4 linked regions of the Caenorhabditis elegans genome follow. The protein of the gene in region 2 interacts with the protein of the main gene of each other region in a pairwise test. Each region holds a gene or a part of one and is shown on either strand. Other genes may lie near its edges.

The links.
Region 1: the proteins of nhr-67 (region 2) and F49H12.3 interact in a two-hybrid assay, tested with the Caenorhabditis elegans proteins (one large-scale study listed by BioGRID).
Region 3: the proteins of nhr-67 (region 2) and peb-1 interact in a two-hybrid assay, tested with the Caenorhabditis elegans proteins (one large-scale study listed by BioGRID).
Region 4: the proteins of nhr-67 (region 2) and drap-1 interact in a two-hybrid assay, tested with the Caenorhabditis elegans proteins (one large-scale study listed by BioGRID).

The regions. Positions count from the first base shown.
Region 1 is NC_003284.9:2,082,842-2,085,594, reverse strand, and holds F49H12.3 (Potassium channel tetramerization-type BTB domain-containing protein), read right to left. Parts: upstream 1,221-2,753; 5' UTR 1,220-1,220; coding exon 1,047-1,219; intron 913-1,046; coding exon 717-912; intron 671-716; coding exon 599-670; 3' UTR 538-598; downstream 1-537. Other genes in the region: F49H12.2 (uncharacterized protein), read right to left, coding at 202-307.
Region 2 is NC_003282.8:11,167,823-11,175,337, reverse strand, and holds nhr-67 (Nuclear hormone receptor family member nhr-67), read right to left. Parts: upstream 5,591-7,515; 5' UTR 5,505-5,590; coding exon 5,468-5,504; intron 4,178-5,467; coding exon 4,077-4,177; intron 3,462-4,076; coding exon 3,364-3,461; intron 3,267-3,363; coding exon 3,137-3,266; intron 2,929-3,136; exon of another isoform or gene 2,799-2,928; intron 2,190-2,798; coding exon 1,920-2,189; intron 1,870-1,919; coding exon 1,700-1,869; intron 1,289-1,699; coding exon 1,013-1,288; intron 965-1,012; coding exon 796-964; 3' UTR 547-795; downstream 1-546. UniProt on the Caenorhabditis elegans protein: Orphan nuclear receptor that binds DNA containing an extended core motif half-site sequence 5'-AAGTCA-3'.
Region 3 is NC_003284.9:2,209,466-2,217,067, reverse strand, and holds the start of peb-1 (FLYWCH-type zinc finger-containing protein peb-1), read right to left. Parts: upstream 6,018-7,602; coding exon 5,973-6,017; intron 4,827-5,972; exon of another isoform or gene 4,536-4,826; intron 3,611-4,535; exon of another isoform or gene 3,488-3,610; intron 3,433-3,487; exon of another isoform or gene 3,051-3,432; intron 2,834-3,050; exon of another isoform or gene 2,486-2,833; intron 2,263-2,485; exon of another isoform or gene 2,077-2,262; intron 1,839-2,076; exon of another isoform or gene 1,622-1,838; intron 1,439-1,621; coding exon 1,316-1,438; intron 1,249-1,315; exon of another isoform or gene 1,127-1,248; intron 1,118-1,126; coding exon 1,016-1,117; intron 961-1,015; coding exon 787-960; intron 430-786; exon of another isoform or gene 167-429; intron 1-166. UniProt on the Caenorhabditis elegans protein: Putative transcription factor. Binds to specific sequence motif 5'-[TC][AGT]TGCC[GA][AT]-3' in regulatory elements of target genes such as myosin myo-2. May modulate gene expression, perhaps acting in opposition to transcription factor pha-4.
Region 4 is NC_003283.11:9,730,224-9,734,551, reverse strand, and holds drap-1 (Transcription factor CBF/NF-Y/archaeal histone domain-containing protein), read right to left. Parts: upstream 2,594-4,328; 5' UTR 2,388-2,593; coding exon 2,315-2,387; intron 2,038-2,314; coding exon 1,796-2,037; intron 1,747-1,795; coding exon 1,123-1,746; intron 1,019-1,122; coding exon 962-1,018; 3' UTR 530-961; downstream 1-529. Other genes in the region: cal-7 (EF-hand domain-containing protein), read right to left, coding at 248-315, 359-449.

The sequences.
Region 1 (2,753 bases), on a different chromosome or scaffold from region 2:
AATTTTTTTCTGAATCTATTAACTACAAAACTTAAAAAAAGGAATTGACAAAAATTTCGTCAGTTGACAAATTTACTAGTAAAGGAAAACTGGCAATTGAGATGTATGTTGTGAAAGTTGGCCCACGGTGTGCAATACTAATAGAGAAAACACGGCATTTCGTAACAATATAAAACATCCAAAATACGTGGAAAAACTAACCATGATCCAAGTATCGCTTTCTAGTCTCGTCATACTTTTCTCGATTTTTTTGTCGCTTCCGTTCTCCCTGTACCCAAACATATCGTTGAAAATCGCCAGCAAGCATTAAAAAAAAGTTTCAAAATCTTCGGGAATAGTTTCAAAAAGTGGTAGACACGTGCGTTTCTAAGGGGATTTTTTGTTTTGGATGACTTGCTAATTTTTTGGCAGGGGGCCACGTTAGCAAACATACATTGGTTGTTGAAAAAAACGGAATTTGTTACCAGATAAATAATAGTTTTGTAGAGAATTGAATACGTCAATTAGTGAAAGTAAGTAGTTAATTTTCCACAAAACCGCAAAGAAGAATTCGTTTATTCTGTAGCTTTTATCACAAAATATAGATTTATTACAGAATTTAAAAATCTTCTTCATCCTCTTCCTCTTTTTTGTCAAATCCTTGCGGGCAACTTGTGCTTTTGGCAAGCATCTGAAATTCAACAGATAATTATCATAGTTTTTAAGTATATAAATACCTCGTTTATATAGTTGGAATCATTTTTATTACTACATAGCTGAAGCATGCAGATTGCTTGATCACGTAGTTGAGGCAGAAGGAAGAAATCTGCTTCCTGTGTCAGCATTGCCAACCTGTCTGGGTCTTTTGGTAGACAGGCTTCCCAAAGCTGTCCAGCTTTCCGGAGACGAAAATAGTTGAGCACGACGCCGAATCTGAAAGAAAGTATTTAAAGATTTATTTTTTTTTTTCAACTACAATATATTATAATTTCCATCGTCCAAATTTCCAAATTACCAAATTACAATCATGAGAATAATTTTAATAAATACCTTTGTGATTCACTTACGAAAATGGGTCTCTATCGACAAAGTACGCGCCATCTCGGTCGCTTGTGAATGGGGACGCCTTTGTTCTTGACACAAACCATTTGTGGAAAATTGAGTCAACTGGGAAAGTCGTCTTCAAGGTTGCCATTGGAGTTCCTCCAACATTGAAGCGAATTATCAGTGTTTCGGACATTCTGAACGAAATTGTGTACATAAAAAATTTGGAATAATAAATTCGTAAAAGATTTAGTTCAAAGAAACAAAAGAAACATGTTAAAGTTTCTGTTCTTGGAAAAGATGTACGAAGAAAGACAATTCTCATGAAATGTTAAGCACAAAATGTCATTGGACATCTCTCAAAGGGCACCACCACTTATTCGAATTGAGCACAAAACAGAGTGGGGGCCCCTCTGCCACCCCACATTTGAGATTCATAAGCCGGTGAGAGAGAAACGAGAACGGGCGAATACATATTTGAGAGAGAAAGAAAAGGTGGTGTGAGCCAGCAGCGTACATGCAAATACGTATGAGCTCTGCGTATTACTTGCTCAAATGTGAAACGTTAATGTCAGCAATGATAAAATAATTGAAAGCTATTTTCAAACAATCACTATTCAAAAAGTTAAAGTTTAGATTTTTTTAAATTTTAAATTTTTGAACAGGTGTATTTTTTTGACGAATGTATAATAAGTGAAGAACCTTTAATATAGATTTAATTTTAAAATATGTATAATAGTTCAAATTAGTCATCATAGAACACTTGAAACAGTTTTAGATTTTTTAACATTTCCAGTCAAAGTTTTGATGACTTGCCAAATTTTCTGCGTTGTTTTAGCCGACGGCCGACTACCAAAACATATGATAAATGAAAACTAATTTCACCAACTGTTTAATTACAAAACTGAACATTTCAAAAGTTTTCCCAACAGTTTAACTGCGATATTTGGACATTTTTGAATTATAGGAGCATTTAAAACTATATTAGCATTTTAGCAATATAGGAGCACCTTTAATTATTATCTACAACACTATAAAAGCAATAATTTTTTTTTCAGTATTTCAAGTAATAGAACCTGAACACATATTATATTTCAAAAAACGGATAAAAAATTGGATGAATCCATTTTTATCTATCAAATGCTCATTTGATAAGCTTTAGATACACTCCATATTTCGCAATACTAGCACGTTTTGCACATGCACACTAGAAGAGCAGGTGGTCAAATAGCTCGGTGTATTTTCTCATTTATTATGTATTAATTTTTGGAAACAATTTTCAGGAAACAATACTGGCACAATAAGAACATTTTCACATGCAATCGTTCCCAAACAGAGACCACCGCAAAAAGAAGAGTAAAAAAAAAGGATTTGACGTATCACGGGAAATGAACTAAACTGAACTCAACTACCGCGCCATTTATTTGCTGTCAGACAATGGGAAACGAGAGGAAATGACCCAGAGGTCTTCTTTTTCAATATAAAAAATAACATGGGAAATGGAACTGCCATGTTTAGCTTGATGCTCCACCAATCTTTTGCTCGAATCAGAAAGGCTGTCTCTTTTGGGCATTGAAATTTGATACAAGAGAAATAGAAGAAAGAGTGGAAGAAACACATGTGAAGTCTAAATTCTGTGAATAAGTGCAAAATGGCTGAAGCGCGAGAATGAAATATGGTTGAAAAGAAGGAAGAATGAAAGGCCTGACTGAAGAGGCGCGCATTTCATG
Region 2 (7,515 bases):
GCAATTACTGAAAATATTCCATGTTTTTTGAAAATTGCAAATAGATACCGAAACTTTGACTAAAAACTTTGAAAAATCTTAACCATGTTGGTTATTTTTCGGATGTTCTGGATGTTCAAAAATGAGTTTAAAGCATTTTCTTTATAATATTGGTTGTTGTTCTGTTAGTTTAAAACTTTAAATTAGTCAATAAATCTCAATAAAAAATATTCTAGCATAATCAGGTTTATCTACAAAAACGTAACGCGTTCAAACTATTGACAAAACCATAAACAAATCATTAAAAAGGGGGAAATCAGTCAGCTAATGATTTGGTCATCTAGTTGAATGGGAATATCAGAATGATATGGATATGATAAGAAACGAGGCCATTAACAAGGAAAACGACGATGACACAATATGACATTCAACCGTTCCATTTTCCAATAAATCTCTCGGTTTCTCTCCCATCATTTATTGATTTCTATTGTTTTTTATGTTTCGAATCATATGTAGTCTTCTCAAAACTGTATGATTCACCTTTTTTTAATGATGTTTGTATGCCAATTGCCATTGTTGTAAACGTTTTATTCATCTGTTCACAATATAAATCAGAAAATAATAAATTAGTTTTAAAGCTTACCATTTTTTTTCTCTAAATTTAAATTAAAAATTTACAATTGAAAAATGAAATTTTGAAAGTATAAATCAAAATCCAATGAAAATCCGGGCGAGGCAAGAAACGGAGTGAAAAAGACAATGAAAAGAGATACTTAGAATAATTGAGTTACTGTATATGAAACATGAATTTACTATCTAAACCTCTTCAACATTAACACTCTCTTCTTCTTGAATTGATAATAATTCAGTTATTGATCGAATCGAATGACGTGGTCTTGAAGAGGAAGGGGATGATGCCGATGAAGGCTGAGTTGAGGAATTAAGAGCCAAGAAAAGTTGAACGGGATCCAGTTCTCCGACAGATCTGCAACAGACTCAGTTAATCCACTGTACTAATAAATGCTCATCATACCTATCATCAGTAGAAGAATTTTCATCAAATTGATTGCTACTCGTCGCATCATCCTCTTCTTCAATATCTTCACCCTCTTCAGTTTCGGTTTTTTCTTGTTTTAATAGAAAGTTCAAATTGAAGTTTGCCATTGGAAACAGTGACGTAGGAGTGGGTTGTTGTGGTGGCTTGAACATGTCTTGAATAAGTCTTGGCATTGAAGCTGATCCAATTGAAGGGCGGAATAGAACATCAATTATTGAAGTTGTTGGAATAGCGGCAATTGCATTTATACATCTGAAATAGGTTTCAGACTGTGAAGTTTTCAGAAGGAAAGATGGTACTAGAGCGTTTAGTTTTCATTAGTTTTCAATAATCAATTTCGCTTTTTAAGCAAATAGGAAATAATTTGCATTTTTTGTGAGAACAAAAAACACTGCTTTTTTAATTGTGGAATTTTTTATATTTTGAGCCGAAAAATGAACTTTTGAATAGGATAATCGTACAAAAACTATAAATGAACTTTTTCAATTGGTTAATTAATTAATTTTAAAAAAGAATTAGCAACCTTCAAACTAGCAAATACAATATTTAATTAACTTTGATCGTTGCAACCCACTCAGAAAAACAGCGTTTACCTTTATAGTGAAGTCTCACATTATTCCAAAAATAAGAAAATTGAAAAAAAAAATAAAAAAAGGAACTTACTGGATATATCTCGTCGGTTCGGTTCTATGTGTGAAATTCTGAATAGATGCTAACTGAAAGACAATTTGAATTGCACTTGGTGTATCTCTCCACATTGTGAAATGTTTCAACATCATGTATTCTCTATTATCCAATTGTAAACGTTCAATTATTTCAAACGCGTTAGCAACCTGAACATTCATTAATTTTTCAAAATATTCAGATTCATATTACTGCATACCGCATTTCTTTGCTCTGAGCTACCGGATATCGTCTCAGTCCTTATTTGCTTAGAAGTTATGGCACGTGTTTCAGTTGCATGGAGAACAAGAAGTGCTGCCCAATTTTGTTGAAACATTGTCATTTGCCGTTCTTTAGGTACTCCATTCAAAGGATTCTGACAAAATCCAACAAGTGCAAAAAAGATTCGAGCAGCAGTACCGGCCACTGTGTCACGATTCATTGATGATGTCGGAAGAATTATTGCATCACTTTCTGATCCCATTTCCGGCTGAAATGAAGGAAAATTAAAATCATCTACTTAATAATATTAACTTTTTCACTGAAAGTTAATTATAGAAATTTTAGACATAATTTCCTCTTGTATACGATATTTGCTAATTCTTCCAATCAGCTGTCCCTAACAAGTACTTATGCAACATAATCATTTGACACTATGTTGTCCCCACTTAAGATCCATAAGAGCACAATATTATTGAGTAATTTGTATCCGAATACAAATAGAAACATTAAAACATCTGCCCCAGAATACACATATATTCACAAGTTTTTGAAACTGGCTGATTTTTCAAGGTGCTCTTTTTTAAAGAATCTGTCACGGTTTTGGCACGTATTTGGTGTTTAACTGATAATTAGAGGATATTTTTTTGAAATTTGACGTTTTGAGAAAAACGTACCACAAAAAAATTAAAATGTTTTGTTTAATTCTTCGATAATTGCCAATTCAAAAAATTGCCAACTTAACGAATACTCAGCACTTCCGGCAACAACCAAGTTACCGTGTTGTAGAAAATTGCAATTCATTGCAATCATATTTCTGACCATGCTCTATATCCTAGGTGTTCCCTTCGCCAGTAAAATGTTTGACTATGTTCAAGAGTGACAAATCACCTGTCAGGTGGTACTGTAGATTTGTACAGCAACCGACAACTTTTCACCTTTTTTACTTTTCGTCGCCGCCGCGTCGGTGTCAACTCGACCAAAATCCACCTGCGGATTACTGTACTAATTCTACTCAAAATCCTTTTTTCACTTCACTTTAGTCACTGATTTTTGTGAGTGAGAAAGAGAAAGATCGGTAATCATGAGATTTAAATGGAACTATTTTGAAAGTCATTATGAATTCAAAACTAAATTAGAATCGATAAATTTAATTAAAATTATTAAATATTTTGTCCTTGTAACATATCCGAATTTAAGATTCCCACAAACACATACCGAATTAGGAGAGGATCCATGATCGAACATCATCTGTTGTCGTCTTAAACTTGAGTTACGAGGCCCTCTCTCATGTTGGACAGCATCTTTGTTCATCCCAATTTCCAGACACTTTCTTAGTCGGCAAGCTCTGAAATTCTCCAAGTGTCATCAATCAATGTATGGACTCGAACGTAAAGAGCATAAAAGGGGATCGTAACACTAATCTGTGACCGTTAAGAACTCACCTGCACTGGTTGCGGTGTGTTTTGTCCACTTTGCATTGTCCTTCGGATGGACTGCCTTTGTTTTTGCACACGTATTGACGATGACGACGGATTGAACGCTGAAATTTGGAATTGTTGTTCAATTTCAATGATAATTATGCTAAGGAAATTTGAAAGTCAATTCACATTGAAAAAATATTTCATGAGGTCTCAAATCCTAGACATACATTATAATCGGAGCAGAACAAAGTTAATGTTGCAAAATGATTGTAGACATTTTTTGTTGAAGATTAACACATTTTTATCTATCCGGAAATTCAATAATATAACAATTAGTTTCAGCAAAAATTAGTACCTTGTCTAACCAAGGTGTGCGCTTTTAAAACGTACTGTAGTTCAATAAATTTGTTTCTGTCGAATTTTGGATGGTTTTTCGATAAAAATATATGTTTTTTAATAAAATTCAGATGTAACACATACATTTTTAATAAATCAGGAGAAAAATTCGGCAGAAACGAGAGTACATAATTACAGTACAGTTTAAAGGCACATACCTTTTCCCGTTTAATAAAAAAAATTCACATCGAGACCGGTTACCGTATTTTTAGAGCAAAAATGGGAAACTTTCGCGTCTAGATAATACTTTTTTAAAAATTTTCCACTAAAATTTACTCTCAAATTCGAATATTTTAAGCTATCTAAAAAATGAGAGCTCAATAAACATTAAAACTTACTTTAAAGAATCCAGCACACCCGTCGCAGGAAAAAATACTGTAATGCTTCCCCGACGAATGATCTTCACAGACTCTACAATCAACATCCAATAGAATTCGACCTGAAGAAATAATCATTTTTAGGTGTGAAATAGAATGAGGAAATCAAGAAAGCCAAGAAGGAGAGACTCCAATTATTCAGCACTTCCTGTGTCTCTTGCCTGCCTAATTAATAGAATATGAAAAGAGAATGAAGGCAGAATGGAAATGGATTTGTTGAAAGAAAAAGGCAAGAAGTGAACAATATTTCAAATTGAGTTTCTACTTCTTGGATATTGAGTATTAGTTTTGATGTTGTTCGTATGACTTTAAAAAATTAATTTTATTTAACATCATGACCTTTCAAATCAATTCTAGTTCTAGCTAAATGGTGCTAAATCCACAGGTGCCACGTGTCACAATTGACCCGAAACACCTGCATCTCCCACAGAAACTCTTCCATTCTTGTACTAATTCCATCACCTAACTCATAATTCACACCTAATCATTTCTACCATAATATTGAGTCACTATGTTTAATGACTTCCTATTTTACTTATTGGAGTTCTCGTGCCGGGGAGATTAGGAAAAAAAAAGGAATTTTTATGAAAGTTTTATGTGACTTTTTAGTTCTGAAATCAGGGTTCTGAAATAATGTCTTAATTTTTCAGTTAGAAATTTTTTCTCACACTGAAATTGATATGCATTCAAATTATGATATTCACATTAGACATTTCTTCATTTTCTTTCTTCATTCACACAAACTAGTTTAGGTACAACTACAGTAACCCATCTGCACTAAGGCTTCTAGAACTCATATATAAAGATACATGGATTTACTGTAGTTTGTATATTAATGGATTTATCCCATGGAAGAAGTCAAGGTTCAGATTTTGTTAAATTTGAAGACAATGGGTAGTAAAAAAATATTTAAAAAAAAACAGGAGTATTTCATAGGGTTTTCAAAATTTTGTGAAGGTATCAAAATCCTATACGTATGTATCTTGCCAAAAAAGCTCCCACTTTTTTTTTCGATATTATGCACTTCCAAACCCATTTTTAGGAAATTCTTCCCTAAATATTTCAAATTAATAATAATCTACTCTGAAATTGAAATTAAAATGAGAAAATAACAATTTTATGTGGCTAAGAATGTGAAGTATGCCCACCGGGCAACTCATCCTACGTTTATTAATTGCTCAAGATCCCAATTTTAAAATCTGAGTTTCTTTTGAAGTTGGGAATTGGAAAAAAGCTTTCTACAGCTAAAGCCTGGAAGTTTAAGAAAGCTCATTTTTCCAAGAAAGTTCGAAGTAGAAGTTTTCATCTTCTGATTCTAGATGTTGACGATTAACTTTTTAAAATTGACTTACTGCTTGGAACCGACATCTGTGAAACCGCAGTCATCATTCTTGGCGCCAGATTCATTAATTCAAGAATTCCGGAATATTGAGCACACAGATTCCCAAAAGACAAATTCTCTCTTCTTAAGGCGAGAGTGAGAGGCAGTCGGAAAGGCGAAGGCGAGTCACGTCGTCAAATCATGGGCGGAGCTAGCGACCACCACTGACAGCCGACGGAGAGAAAGCGAAGAGAAACGACTCTGAGGGATACTGTAGACGATGCAATAAGCCACGCCCTGATTGATTTTGAGAGTTTTTCTAGTGTACTGTTTTTCAAATATTCAATTTTTTGTTTTCATAGTATCCAGGTGAATGCCAAATTATTCAATTGAGTGGTAGTTTTATGTTAATAGCTCAAGTAACATTGTTCAGAGTACAGAAAATCTAACTGAGGTGCTCTTGTAGTTGAAATGTTTAACTTATTTTGGAAAACTATAAATCTGAAAACCTAGACCACTGTAAACTTTACTAGTGTGTGAAGTTTTCAAGCAACCACTATGATTGACCACACTCTACTCATCTTTTAATTTAACTTTAACTCGGAGTTTTCAATTTTTATTTAATTTCAATACATTTTATCTGCAGTTTGACTTGAACAAATTTTGAAACTTTCTCAATTAAGAAGTGGTTCTTTTCTGGGATTCTGGTTTTTTCGGAAAACAGTTCTGTATCCTTGGTCATGTTATTATATTTGCCCTATATAGTCAATATTACTCTTGAAAACTCCCTTCCTGTCGGATCCTTTTATTGCTCACGGAGCATCCACCTCATCCCAAAAACTTTGTTCTCTTTTCATCCCGCGCACAATCACCACACACTTCTTGCCGTTGTTGCTCCCATTCTTCAGAATGCCTCCTCAAATCTTTTTGGAGGCACAAGTTGAAGGAGTTTTGGAAGACTCAAAAGAGCTCAAAAGACCCGACGACATCCCTGAGAATACTTGACCATTCATTGTCATCAGTAAAGACTTTATGATGAAAAGAATTGGAGCAAAAGTTTTGAGCAGAGGAATGGTAGTTTTGCCGCAAAAAGTTAGATGGAGTCTGGGGTTCTATGTGAAATATGTAGTAGACTGTTTTGAGAGAAAACTTCAGGTCGTGTGAAAAATTAAATATAAATATTATTTTAGGGAAACTCTAGGTTCCAGACTTGCTTGAACCACAAACGTAAAACTGACGAATTTCAAGCTGTATTTTTTACAAACTTCATTTTCAACTTTATTTTTTATATATCAGTATCAGGCATATAGTTCTCTCTCGGAGAGCCAGAACAAAATCGAACCAAAAAACCAATATCCCTTGATTCATTAAAATTTTAATTTTCTTTGAAGTTAGTTGCTGAAAACTTTAACATTGTAACACCGATTGTAAATTCTTAGATTCGTTATTTAATGTTCTACCCCTCTTGTTCTTCAGTAGGTTGTCACAACCAATTCAGTGTAGTCTATAGTATTAGGTTTCTAAGCAAAAAAAAAAACAGTAAAATATTTTTCCAGCTGCCAGGCTCATGGTATTTTAGAACCTAATAAAATTCTTCAAATGCTCATCATATAAATTGAACTCTCTGTGGCTTGTACCACAGGGTACGAACATGACCTCCATTTCATTTTAGTGGTGAACACCTGCATTTCATTTTGATGCTTACGCAATCAAAAATACTTTTTTTTCTCGATTTTACCCAAGAGTAAGACAATGTGTTGGGATTTTACGCAATATCGAGAACGATGCAGGAAAAGGTCGTTGAAGAGAGATAGACAGACGAGGGTCATACAGGTGTGAACTTTTGGAAAACTTAGCGAAATGGTGGGGGGGGGGGGGGGGGGAAGTAAAATGAATAGATCTTCCAATGTTACATTGGATTGTAAATTATTTATCACAATCATGTTTCCGTATAGTATTGCATCCCATCGCTCTATGTACTTGGACAGCTTATGTTTCAGTTGTCTTTTGAGTTGGTAAAAAGTTATCAACTGACAAAACAATTTATATTTTTTCTATAGTGCTTCAATCAGACTTGTG
Region 3 (7,602 bases), on a different chromosome or scaffold from region 2:
ACAAAGGTCGAATCAGGATTTGAAATTCGATGCACTTTACATTGCGTCAGAATTGACCCTTCCGATGACCCAATTCGGAAGAATTCGCAAAAAGTTTGTACCGTCAATTTGAATGGCAGCGACGCAATAGATTTGGGAAAATTGGCGCATCTAGGTTAACGAGTCGGGTGGTATGGCCCAGCCTGTCCCCGCGCGCGCTGCCGCGTGCCTGCCATCCATGGCTTGACCTTGGCAATGCGCGGATCTGTTTGCGAATTATTCGCGGTTCATCAACATGGGAGGGAGGAGGGGGGCAAAATTGCGGCACGCGCATGAGTGGCCGATGTTTCGAACCGTGCCACGCTCAGATTGTTTTATTTGACCTGACCAACATCGCAACTGACCTAGGCACTCGGCGGCGCCACCCAGCGCCGAAAGTAGCGCATCTCGTTGCACTTTTAACTTGTATACACAAACTATTTTTGACACACTCGAAAAGGGCCGACGATCTTTTTTTTCCATCTACTGGTGCCATGAAGTGAATTTTTAAGGGTTACGAAATAAAAAAAAGTTATCTTTTTTGCACGTACACACAATTCCCTTAGACACTCTCAAAAGCTAGAGGTTCCACATGACGTTATGAAATTCGAACTTGAAGGCGCCAAGCCTAGGAACCAATTGGAACAAAAAGAGTCAGCTGGCAAATTCAACCTTATGATATCGGTGCTCTGATCTGGCACTGCGCCAATTGCAAAGGGCACTAGCTCTTAACCTAGACAGTTGTGACTGTGTAATCTCGCCACGTACCTTGATAAATTCGATCTCAGCGACATGGTGTCTTGGAGGGTGATTGTGTGATCCTTTCGTGCATGCGTTTTTATTATCCATGGTTGTTTCAGCTCGGCATTTGCACCACTGCCCATCATGCATTTTCTTAGCGCAAACGCATCTCCAAGACTTGAAGTTACGTTCTGGAGCAATCTGAAAAAAAACAACTCGTGATGAAAGTCACCACTTGAATGATGGTCTATGATACCTGATAAATATTATATCGGTAGCCTTGATACATAAGTTTTTGATATCCTTTGAAAGATGTGACAATTTGTGGAATGTCTGGATTGTATCGGACAAATGAGATCTGAAAAAAAACTATTATTATCGGCCCAAAATCGCCAGTTAAGGCGGTGTTTCCCGGTGTCAGGTTGTTTTGAAATTCGTGTGGGAAGGAAGCCCTAAATTTTCCGTCTGAACAAACACCGGTCAACTATGCAAACGTTCTCTTTCAAAACTATGTTTGCCCTTCGGACAGTCCAAACAGTTATCTCAAAGTACTTACCTTTTTCTTTTCCTTGTCCGGTGATAGTGGCATACTGCTCACGCTAATCGGAGAAATGGCGGAAGTATCAGTGGAAGAAGACGAAATGTCTGATGATCCAGGCTTTTCAAGACCCAGCATTGTCTGAAAAGGAAAATTGATGTGTTAAATCAAATGAGCAAAAAAAAATAGCGATGGGAGCAATAGAATAATAATAACCAAATGACCTCTGATGAATTAGAAATTGAACTCAAACTAGACAGATGATGAAAAAGAGATATGACCAACGAAGAGAGATGTGACAAAAAAAACGAGCGGACCTGCTGTTGGATAGCGAGCGAGGTTCAGACACCTAGAATCAGACGATTTTTTCTCATCTATCTCTCCGCCCCAGGCACTATCAGTTGCTTGGGGCGGACAAATCAGCTGATGGGGCAGTCGAGAGAGGCGCGTGCCATTTGAACTGATAACCTATCGTGGCAGGCACCAACCGGCTGCCAACTAAGACACCGAATACTGTTATTTGGATGAGGTGCGCGAGAACGAGAGTGGCGAAGAGATAGAGGATGAGTGACCGGCAGGAGGCACAACTGACTGTACGGAAATTGGCGAGAAACATGCGTTGAAACGAGATTGACACATTCACTTTTTTTTTTGATTTTGGTAAATTTTGTTGAGGTGGTTGGTCGAAATTTCAAAAACAGACTAAAGAAGGGTTAAAAAGAATACAGAAGTATATGATTATCATTATTTAATTCGGAATTTCTAAAGAAGATAGAACAAAAAGTTGATAGCGGGGCAAAGCAAAATTCTCGGAAAAGAAATACAGTAACCAGTTTCGATGGCACACATTCCGCAACATGCGGCGACTTTTATCGAGTAATGGTGTTTTGACTTCGTTGACCCACAATTCCTTCCATCTATCTTCCGCCAGCCTGATCATAATACTTTTTTGACCGCTTTTCCATCCATGGAATACTGCGAGGAAGTGGCGCGAGAAAGTAAAGGCATGAGGTATAACGAGTACCGTTCCAAGTTTCACTTTTTGTTTTTGTGGCGGGCGAGGGGGTCATCGTCGAAGAGAAAGTTCGAGTAAAAGTGACCAAAAATGAAGCAAGTTTTGCAAATAGGCACCAGAAAGGGGGTCTCCAAAAAGTTATTATATCCGGGCCAATGGAAAGTGTGGGATGCCAGGACGATTACCGAAAAAAGGGCCGCGCCGTCGCCGCCCGCATGACCTAGCGCGGAAGACACGGATTGACACCGGATTGATGGATTCGGGAGAGAAAAAAAAAACCACAAAATTAGGTAATTGAGGGCGAAGATTTTGATAAGAAAGGCGGAAGCCAACGGCTTGACCCAATCGCGTGGCACTAGTCCGCATAACCTTGATGGAAACTATTACTGTTGCAACATCGGCAAAGTGCAAGGTCCTATTGGACATCGGCGCAAGACGGCGTCAGCACTTCTCGCGTACGATTCGCCATTTATGGCGGTCAGAATTCAAGTGTCTAGTAATCAGTGGCCGACAGAACAAACATTTTTCTTATCAGTATGTATATGCTTGGTTCAGCGAAAAATTGCATAATACCGATCCTGGAACGGTCGAGCACCACTGGACAACAAAAATATTTGTTTGGCATGCTTACATGCTGATAATACCTATTTCAAGATGATGGGAATTGTATAGAAGCCGAAGGTGAAAACATATCAAACGTTAAAATTAGGAAGGTAATCGTAACAAGACTAGTAGTAAGGTAGAAATACAGTAAGCGTGAATCTAGAGAATCGCAGTCTGAAGTTTCACACCTTCCGCTATCCATATTCTACTGGTAGTCTAAAATTCCGATGGCGGCGTCGGGTGGAAGTGAGAGGGGGGGGGGGGGGGCGGTTCAGTAAGGAACGGGGTCAGGCTGCCTGCCACGAAGAACCGCGAGGGAGAAGGCCTTTGCCTCCTCCATCTCCTCCTACTTCTACATCCACAACATCTTCTTCATTTCAATCGGCCGCCTCCCCCCTAAATGAACAGCCAACCCCGCCAAAACATCCGCGATCCGATGGTGTGAGGCACGCGCGCGCATACGCCGTGCCCTGAACCATTAGTAGTGGATGATGATGGTGATGAGGAACGAAAATGAAAGAAGCGTCTAACGAATGCAAAAAAGATCACAAGGGGCAAAGAGGTGAAAGGCGTGTGTACATAAAAACAACTCTCGAAATCCGCCTTGTCCGACATCCAAGTATGGTAACTGCGTCGGCAGCAGCAATTTGGCGCCAGTCGCCGATCCACTCTCACTTGGACGTTTTGCCCCCAATATGGAAGGTTTTTTCATCTAATTATTTGACCGGATGTCAATTTCTATGTCTATCACGAAACGTTTAAAGGCAGATTCGTCAATTTGAAAAGATCTGGAAAAAAAACATTGCTGGAGCAAAATTACAAGTCTGGAGTCGGCTTTTCGTTTCCAATTAGTCAAAAAACACACACATACACATACGCCACCATCTGGGGTTGTCAGGAAAGGTGATGGATGGACATCTCTATGGCAATCGGGAGAGGGCCTAGAACAAAGGGGTGCCAGTCTCGGATCGGTCAGATGAAATCGTTTCTCTCCTACAAATTTTTCGAAATTTTGCAATCGTCAATGATTAGTTCGATATCCAGAAAATTGGTATAGATGATATCACATATTTACTACGGGATCCATGAATGCCCTTCATTTTCACGTCGCGCCCCCCCCCCCCCCCCCCCCATTCTCGAAGAAGTCTTAGAAGCTGCAAAAGCTCGTAGTCAATCTTGTCCAGGATGAGTGAAAGGCGATTTTACTTTCTATAGCTGAACCTTGATTTGGAGAAAGTGAAGAAGGGGCAGCTAGGAGAAAAGAAGAAGAGTGGGCATTTACGCCAAGAAAAAAACTGAACACGCAAGACTGGTCACTTCATGAAACAACATCTAGCGCTTCTAAAAACTGAAGTGGTCTAGAAAATTAGGAGAAAAATTGTGAAATGGAACAATGAACGCGCCAAGGCAAAACGAGTAAAGTGCGTTACTGGTGCTCCACCCTTCCTGCCTCAGAGATTGACCCCCTGTTCGAAAATTCAAACATGAAATAGTGTAAAAGAGAAATGATACACAATTGATAGCTCTAGTACAGGGAACAAGGTTAGAAAGGTCATTAGTCAACTATGGAGTGCTTCCAGTTGCCACCACTGACAGTAGAAGTGTGGAAAGTATGTGTGCGAGAGCCCGGCGTGAGCCAAAATGGAAATGGGCGGTCCGAACGGTTTCGACAGTGGAGGAAGTGGGAGCCATCCGAGTTGTGACAACCACGGTGGCGGGTGCCCGGCCGGAAGGAAGCACACATCAAGAGTACAGTACGAAAGGCCTTTCCGCAAAGGGGGGGGGGGGCAAACGGCAAACAATGACCCTTCGGGGCGTGTATATATTGTGCTTCGCATCAGTTTGGCCACGTCTCGCGCAGTACAGAGAGTGGCACGTAACGCCACTGACCAGCCAAGTGCAAACTTGTAGACAGGCATCGCAGCGCCGAGGCACTCCTCCAACCTAGTACTATATTTGCAAATGTTGGTTCTCTCTGCCTTCATCTACTTAATCTTTCTCTCGAAACTGTTCCCTCGAAACCGCGCACTTTATATTACTGGGTGGTTTTAGATGTTGCCCTTTTCTTCCGCGTAAAGTCATAAAGAGGAAGACGTCAGAAACTATGAGCCACAGAACGAAAAATACTGCTAGTTTTATATCAAAACTTTTCGGAGAAGGCAAGCAAGCGTCGACGGTCAGAAAAAAAATATAACGACGAGGGCGAGCTGCAAGTATCACTAAAAGTGAAAACGATTGGCAAGCGGACAATAAACATGCGGTTACGCAACAAAACTTTCGCGCATTGGTCATGCCCCGGCGCCTAGCACTGTCCGGGCTCGTGTGCAAAGGTCGCTGACTCATCTGGCGCGGCCCATTGAAGTCGAGCAGGGGCAAAATGGTACTGTCAACTGATATGTTGGTTTTTTAATCAAAGAGCTGATTGGCAATGGTACAAGCCAGCACTACTTTCCGCCCGTAAAGGAGAAACATAGAGAGCTTTTTGGTTGCAAAATGTAGAATGTTAAAATTATACAAAAGATAAAAACGCATATGAATACTGATAATTAACTGAAACTGTGAACCATTGATAAGTAAATGTGTACCTATCAATTACAATTTACTCCAACATTTCCCCGATTAGAAAACTAAAATGTGAGAACACAACAAAAAAAACTACATTAATTTTAAAAACCGCTCGTCTCCAAAATTTCTTGACATCTCCCAGAAAATAAAAATGGAATGATAGATACCAAGTCAATTTAATTCATATTCCCCCCCGTAGCCATATTTGGCAGGCAGAAACAAACGACGACACGTCACTGAAACGAACGGGGTGAATAGGAGAACAAACCGAGAAACAGAGAAGCACACGAGAGGGGGGGGGGGGGGGGTTTATGGATCTCAAGAAAATGCATGATGTTAAAGTTTTGATCATCACATCGTATTCTGACAAATAGATAGAGGGTAACTCAGCACAAACCCCTTGGCTCACGCAAAGGACAAGAAAACAGTTGTGCAAACTCAAACCACCGACTGAAAACGCCTGTCGCTGAACAAATCTAACTGGTCACTCACCTGGTCAAGCCGCCAGCAATTTTTTTGAACTGTTGTTGTCATCATCAGCCCCAGTTTGGAATATCCAGAATGCTTCCTTTTCTCGGTGTTTACTCGTTTCGTTGCCCTGGAATAAAGTACACATTTATATTGATCATAACAGGGCACAAACTGAGCAGGGTGCCTTTCACGAAGAGCTTGAAATGACCTTTTAACACACACACATACACACATCATGGTACGAAATACATCTGGGAAAAGGGTGATGGTTGTAAGAATAAACTAATAAAATAATGAGCAATTGGAGTTGCACTATGTGTGTCAAACTGGAATTGGAAATTGGAAAAATCTCAGTTTTTGTTCGAGGCATAAACTCTAAAAATTTCCACTTTTTGACTGTCAGTAAAAAAAACATTTCAAACGATTTTTTTTGACTTTTTAAAAGTTTTAATACAAAATTTGATTATTTTGGTATCATATATGTAGCACTGCTCCACTTTTGAAAAATCGTTTTCTAATTGGTTACAGTGCTTTTCAGAAAATTATACAATGGTTTGCAACCTGTGGTGTGGTGTGTGTGTGTGTGGGTGTGTGAAAAAGGAATTAAATACAAGAAAGAGATGAGTTGGATGCAATAGATGGGTATATGGTGACGACGTCTTCGCCGGACGCAGATTGTTGTTGTTTGTGGCAGTTCCGCGCGGATCAAACAAATAGTATGTCAGCGTGTAGATGCGCAGGCAGATACAAAACGCGGCGTGCGGGCACTAAAGTTCGTGACCTGTGATGGGTCGCGGCAAATTCGGAATAGACCGGGGGGAATGAGGGAGAGGCGGAAAACCAAAAACGGCGAGACACAAACTAAGGCTCAAATAAATGACGAGTCGAGCGAAATACGTGATTAAACTTTTCCAATACAGTCTCAGCGTATTTTTTTTTCGGGCCAGCGCCACCCTCCACGCTCGTGAGACACTTCTATACTACTTTATGAATCCGGCAAACTTTTGGATGCGTGAGTGTGCCGCTCATCATACGCCCACATTTGTGAGATTGGAAAATAAAAGTGCAAAAAACCTGAAGTAATATGCCTTTTTCTTGGTTGCTTACATCAACTGGAAATCACATTTTAAAATTGATGAGTTCAGTGGGGTCCCTTGTGTAAATATCAATTACTAAAATATTGGCACTTTCAGTGATGTCTTCAAAAAGCAATGATTTGATTAACTTCTCGACCTAATGCGATATCTGAAAAAGTTCACAAGCAATTCTTATCTTGATTTAACTGATGGTCTATCCGTCTTTGTTGTCGCTTGTCAGTACCACTTGCCGTGCCGATTCGGTGCCGTCCAGTGTTTCGCATCCAATTGGCCAACGAAAGGTCATTCATCCGACTGAACTAAATTATGGCATGGCAGAATGACAGTGTTCAGGGGTAGAGTTTTTTGAAATTTGCAACTATCTGCATAGATCACATCAATTTATTTTCAAAGTGTGACTGTTCGGCCTGTGCATTATTTAAAAAATTTTCACATGTTCATCCAAAAATCTCCAGTGCAGTCCCAAAACCGATGGAAATCTAGAGAAAAAAACCCGGAGCAAGTGATTTGTATAATCGAGATATAATCTCAGTTGTCTGATTTTAAAAACTTTT
Region 4 (4,328 bases), on a different chromosome or scaffold from region 2:
AGAAACATTTAAGAGTTTATGAAGTATGAAAAATAACTTCATGCACTCGAGGCGTGTTCGCCTCTTCACTCACCCTACTGAAGGGCGCGAGGAAGGCGAGTGGGAAGGCGGGAATAGGCTCCCCGTGACGCCTACACTAGGTGGAATGTCTATTTGATCCGGTTCTTAATGATATAAATGAGTAGAAAGTTGGAGAAAAGCACCACGTGAAAAGCCAAGTTTCAACAGTAACTACAGTAATCCTCACTTCAATCAAACCATCAGAATCCTCGTCAAACATCTTGAATACATCGAAAAGACGACGTCGAATATCTTCTGAACTTCCTTTTTTGTTTAAATTGGACAAAATATTACAAACCAACAATTACAGAATCTACTTCTTCTTTTTGGCTCTCATTTTCCCCTTCTTCTTCAATGTTTAATAAATCTTCATCTTCGCTCAGATCCATAATTTAGCTGAATACTAATATAATGTAGATCGCTCTAGTTGTTGCGCGAGTTTAGTGGTCTTTTCTGTCGGAAATATACGTTTTCTGGTTGAATAATTTTTATATTAAATACTACAAAAACGGAAATTGAATTCTAAAGCATGACAAATATAAAAATGAAGAGAAAAATTGAATTAGAGAGACAAAGAGCAAAACAAGTTAAACATATGACAGAGAACATTTGGAAGGTTTAATGAAAAGCGACGAGCATCCTGATTTATGAAGGTGTGGGTCGGTAATGGTTCATATTGGGAGAACATCGAAGTGATTAAATTTTGATTTGCCAGTGAACGACAAAAAATGAATAAAACAAGAGAAATAGAGAATAGGGTAGACCCGGTGAGGATTTGTTTTTTTTTTCTTAACTTGGAGCAATAGAAAAGGAGAAATTTAGATCAGAAATGGAGGGCAACGAGACCATTGAAAAGTACACGATTAGGAGAAGAATAAAATTTCTCATAGAGAAGTGAGGATCACGGACGGCCAATAGGCAGTGCTGGAGGAGGCATCAACTCGCGATCCTTGTCTTCCTGAAAATGATAATTTTGCTTTAGATCAAAAGGATCACAGAACCGTAAATCAAATTACATCTTTAGAACATTTTGATTCTATGTCTAAACTTTTCAAATATTACCTTGGCTATATTCCTAGAAGCTTCCTCGTAGAGATCATCATCAATACATTTTTCAGGTTTTAACTTCTTTGGGCGTCCTCGCTTTGGTCTGTCTTCTCCATCACCATCAGTAGATGCTCGTTTTAATCCTGTGAGACGTTGTCCTTCAGAATCTTTTTTCGAGTATTTGAGCATTCCTAGCATACCATTTACGAGTTGAGTTGTCGGAGTGCTAGGAGAAAGTGGTACGGTGGCTGTGAGTTCTTGAACTACTGGATAATTGGATGGAATCCCTTGAAGATAAAGTGGAAGTGGTGCTGCTGGGGATTGCGGATCAACTAAATAAGGAGAAATAGTTCCATCTTCTTGTTTCAATGCTTGTTGATCCATTTGCATCATTTGCATCTGCGCATTGGCAAGAATTGCACTAGCAAAATCTGAATTTTGTTGCTCTTGGAGCATTTGCTGTCCTCTCAATGTCATGCCGGTACGTGCAGTATTCAATTCAGATGCTTGCTGTGGAAGTGCAACATCTTTGAAGACTGATTCTAGAAATGAAAAGTGTGGAGTGTTGAGAACCGCCTGCTTCATGTGTTGAGGGTTTAGCGTCTTTGAAGATGTGAATTGAGTAGCTTCTGCGGCAGCCTCAAATATATATTCAAGGTTCAAAATAACTATGACTGAGTCTTCTCACCTGTAAAAACTTCTCCGCAAAATGCTCCATTGCTCTTCCGATGCTGACAGGAACTGACTGAACCATTCTTCCGATATCCTCATCACTTTGCATAACCTTCTTTATGCGTGTTGGCTGAATTTTTGCAGTGCTGAAACGACGTCTTCGGATCACAGCAGCTGCCTGTTGCTGCTGTTGGTTGCTGCTACCTGTTGATGATGAAGCACCGGCTGATGAAGTGGATGCCAACGTTGACATTTTTTCTGAAAAATAAATTTAAATAACGATTTGATCCTAATCTGTTAATTCTTAGATATTACATCTACAAATTGTTTTAAGTCGCATATTTTTTGAAGTTTCTAGATAGTTCATGATCCAGAAATGATGCCGGATACTGACGGTTTTACCCAAAACAAATTAAGGGTTTTTGAAAATAAATAAGCTTTCATTTTAAGATTTTATGAATGTACGTTTTCCGATTATCTATAATCGAGTTTCTTTTTTGTTCCATCCACCCTAAAAGATAAGGTCAAAACTAACGAGTAGCCGATGCATAATTGACGGGTAACATCGGCACCGCAAAGCCAACATCGCTTCCTCTATTCTGATCCATCTTGTTTTCTCCTCTCTCGAAATATGTATTCTCTGGTTTCCTTCCAAAAGTGTCAGTGTCTCCGACGGAAACGTTGCTGACGAGAGAAGACGATGTTGTGGAGATTTGGAGGCACAAAATGAGAGAGAGAAAGAACGAACAACGGGTGGTTTTCGAGAGATATAGAACTATTCCGAAGACGTCATCGATGATGGGCCTGAGACTAACTGAAAGTTGGAAGCTACTGTATAATACTCTTGAGGTAAAGCGATGAAATGAGAGATTATTGAACCATGAAAGAAGGACATGATGTTTCATTCATAGAAGCTCTCTTAACAACTTTGGAAAAGACATTTAGAGCCCATGAATAATCAACGCAAACTTTTTTTTCTAAAATTAATGGTCACTATTTGATATTGATTGGAATTATTAAAATATTCTGTGCTCAGTAACAAAGGGATTCAGATAATTAGATTTTGTTATATTTCATTTCCCGTTAGAGCAACTCCGTTTCGCAACAAGTGTGTTATGTTCTATATGTTCTGTATGTACACAGCCGTTCGGGTCTCATCGATCACTATAACAATATAGATCATCACATCAGTACAACAATTGATAACAAAAAAGAGGCGTGATGGTATCTTCCTTTTTTCTATTTCTCGCTTTCATTTTGGTTATTTCATTCTTTAATGATAACGCCATTTATTCCATTCTGCGTCGTGTCGATTCGATTCGATGTCAACGCACACACACACACTTACACATCTACTGGCCAGGACTGGAGGAGAGCGCGTAAAGACGAGTGATTGAGCGCTTCGGTGAGGAGACGAGAGAATCTAAGGGAAATAGTGTATAAAGAGGAGATAGAAGGGGGAAAAACGGAGAATAGGAGCAGAAAGGCGCTGGCCGATCACACGCAGACCTCGCGTTCTTCCCTCCTTTATATACAGCGGACAAATCGGTGATTCGCAGGTCTGCGCGACTACGGTACCCGCTGCTTGTTCTGCGTCTCCACGTGTCGTTTCACTACCTTTTCCCCCTTTTATTTAGCGTGCGCCCGCGCCGCGCCGATGTTTGAGAGTCTTTGATGCAGCTGTACGGGCCGAGATGAGAGGGAAGAGAAGATGAGAGAAGCAGAGAGTTGAGGGAAAGAACATAGACTCCTCCTCCGCATACTCGATTTGTATGTTTTTGTGTGGACAGACGGACAGATGGATAGATGGCTGATTTGTCAGCTTGCCGTCGAATTATTGATTGTTCTTTTGTGAAGCAAAGTCGAGATATTGAAATGATGAAATTATCTTAACTGTTCAGTATTTGCATAAAGAATTATTGAACGGATATTTTTGCAATTGTTGCCTATGAGGTGATTGAGATCTTTTTGCGAATTTTTATTCTCCAATTTACTAGAAAAAAAACTTAGAGGCAAATTTGCGCAAACATTTTTAAGTTCAGACCAGGATGGGCGGCAAAAGAACATTTTCGGCAAATATATTGATCGACATTGATCAAGTTAAAAATTTGGCCAAATGTCTTGTGCACATTTAAAATATTTTGAAAAAAATCTACAAATGAAAGAAAATTTAATTCGTACAGCAGTGAAGTTTTTGTGGCAAAAGATTTATCTAATTTTTCTTTGTATATTAACTTATAAAAATTTACAGATTTTCAGATTTTCTTCTTGGATATGAACATTTTTAGAGAATTTTCAATTTCCCAGCAATCGGCATTTTTGGAAATTGATGAATTGATGAACTTTCGATAACTCAGTATTTTCCGCAATTGTTTAACTGTCAAAATAGCGAAATTGGAATTGTCGCCCAGCTGGTTCAGACTACTTAGAATTAATAGAAAATGTGATATCTTTTCAGAAAAAAAAATCAGAAATTCAGTCGACGATTGAATTCAACATTGTTTTTCGGAAAGAACGAAATTGAACACGAATTTACTATTTAATTATGC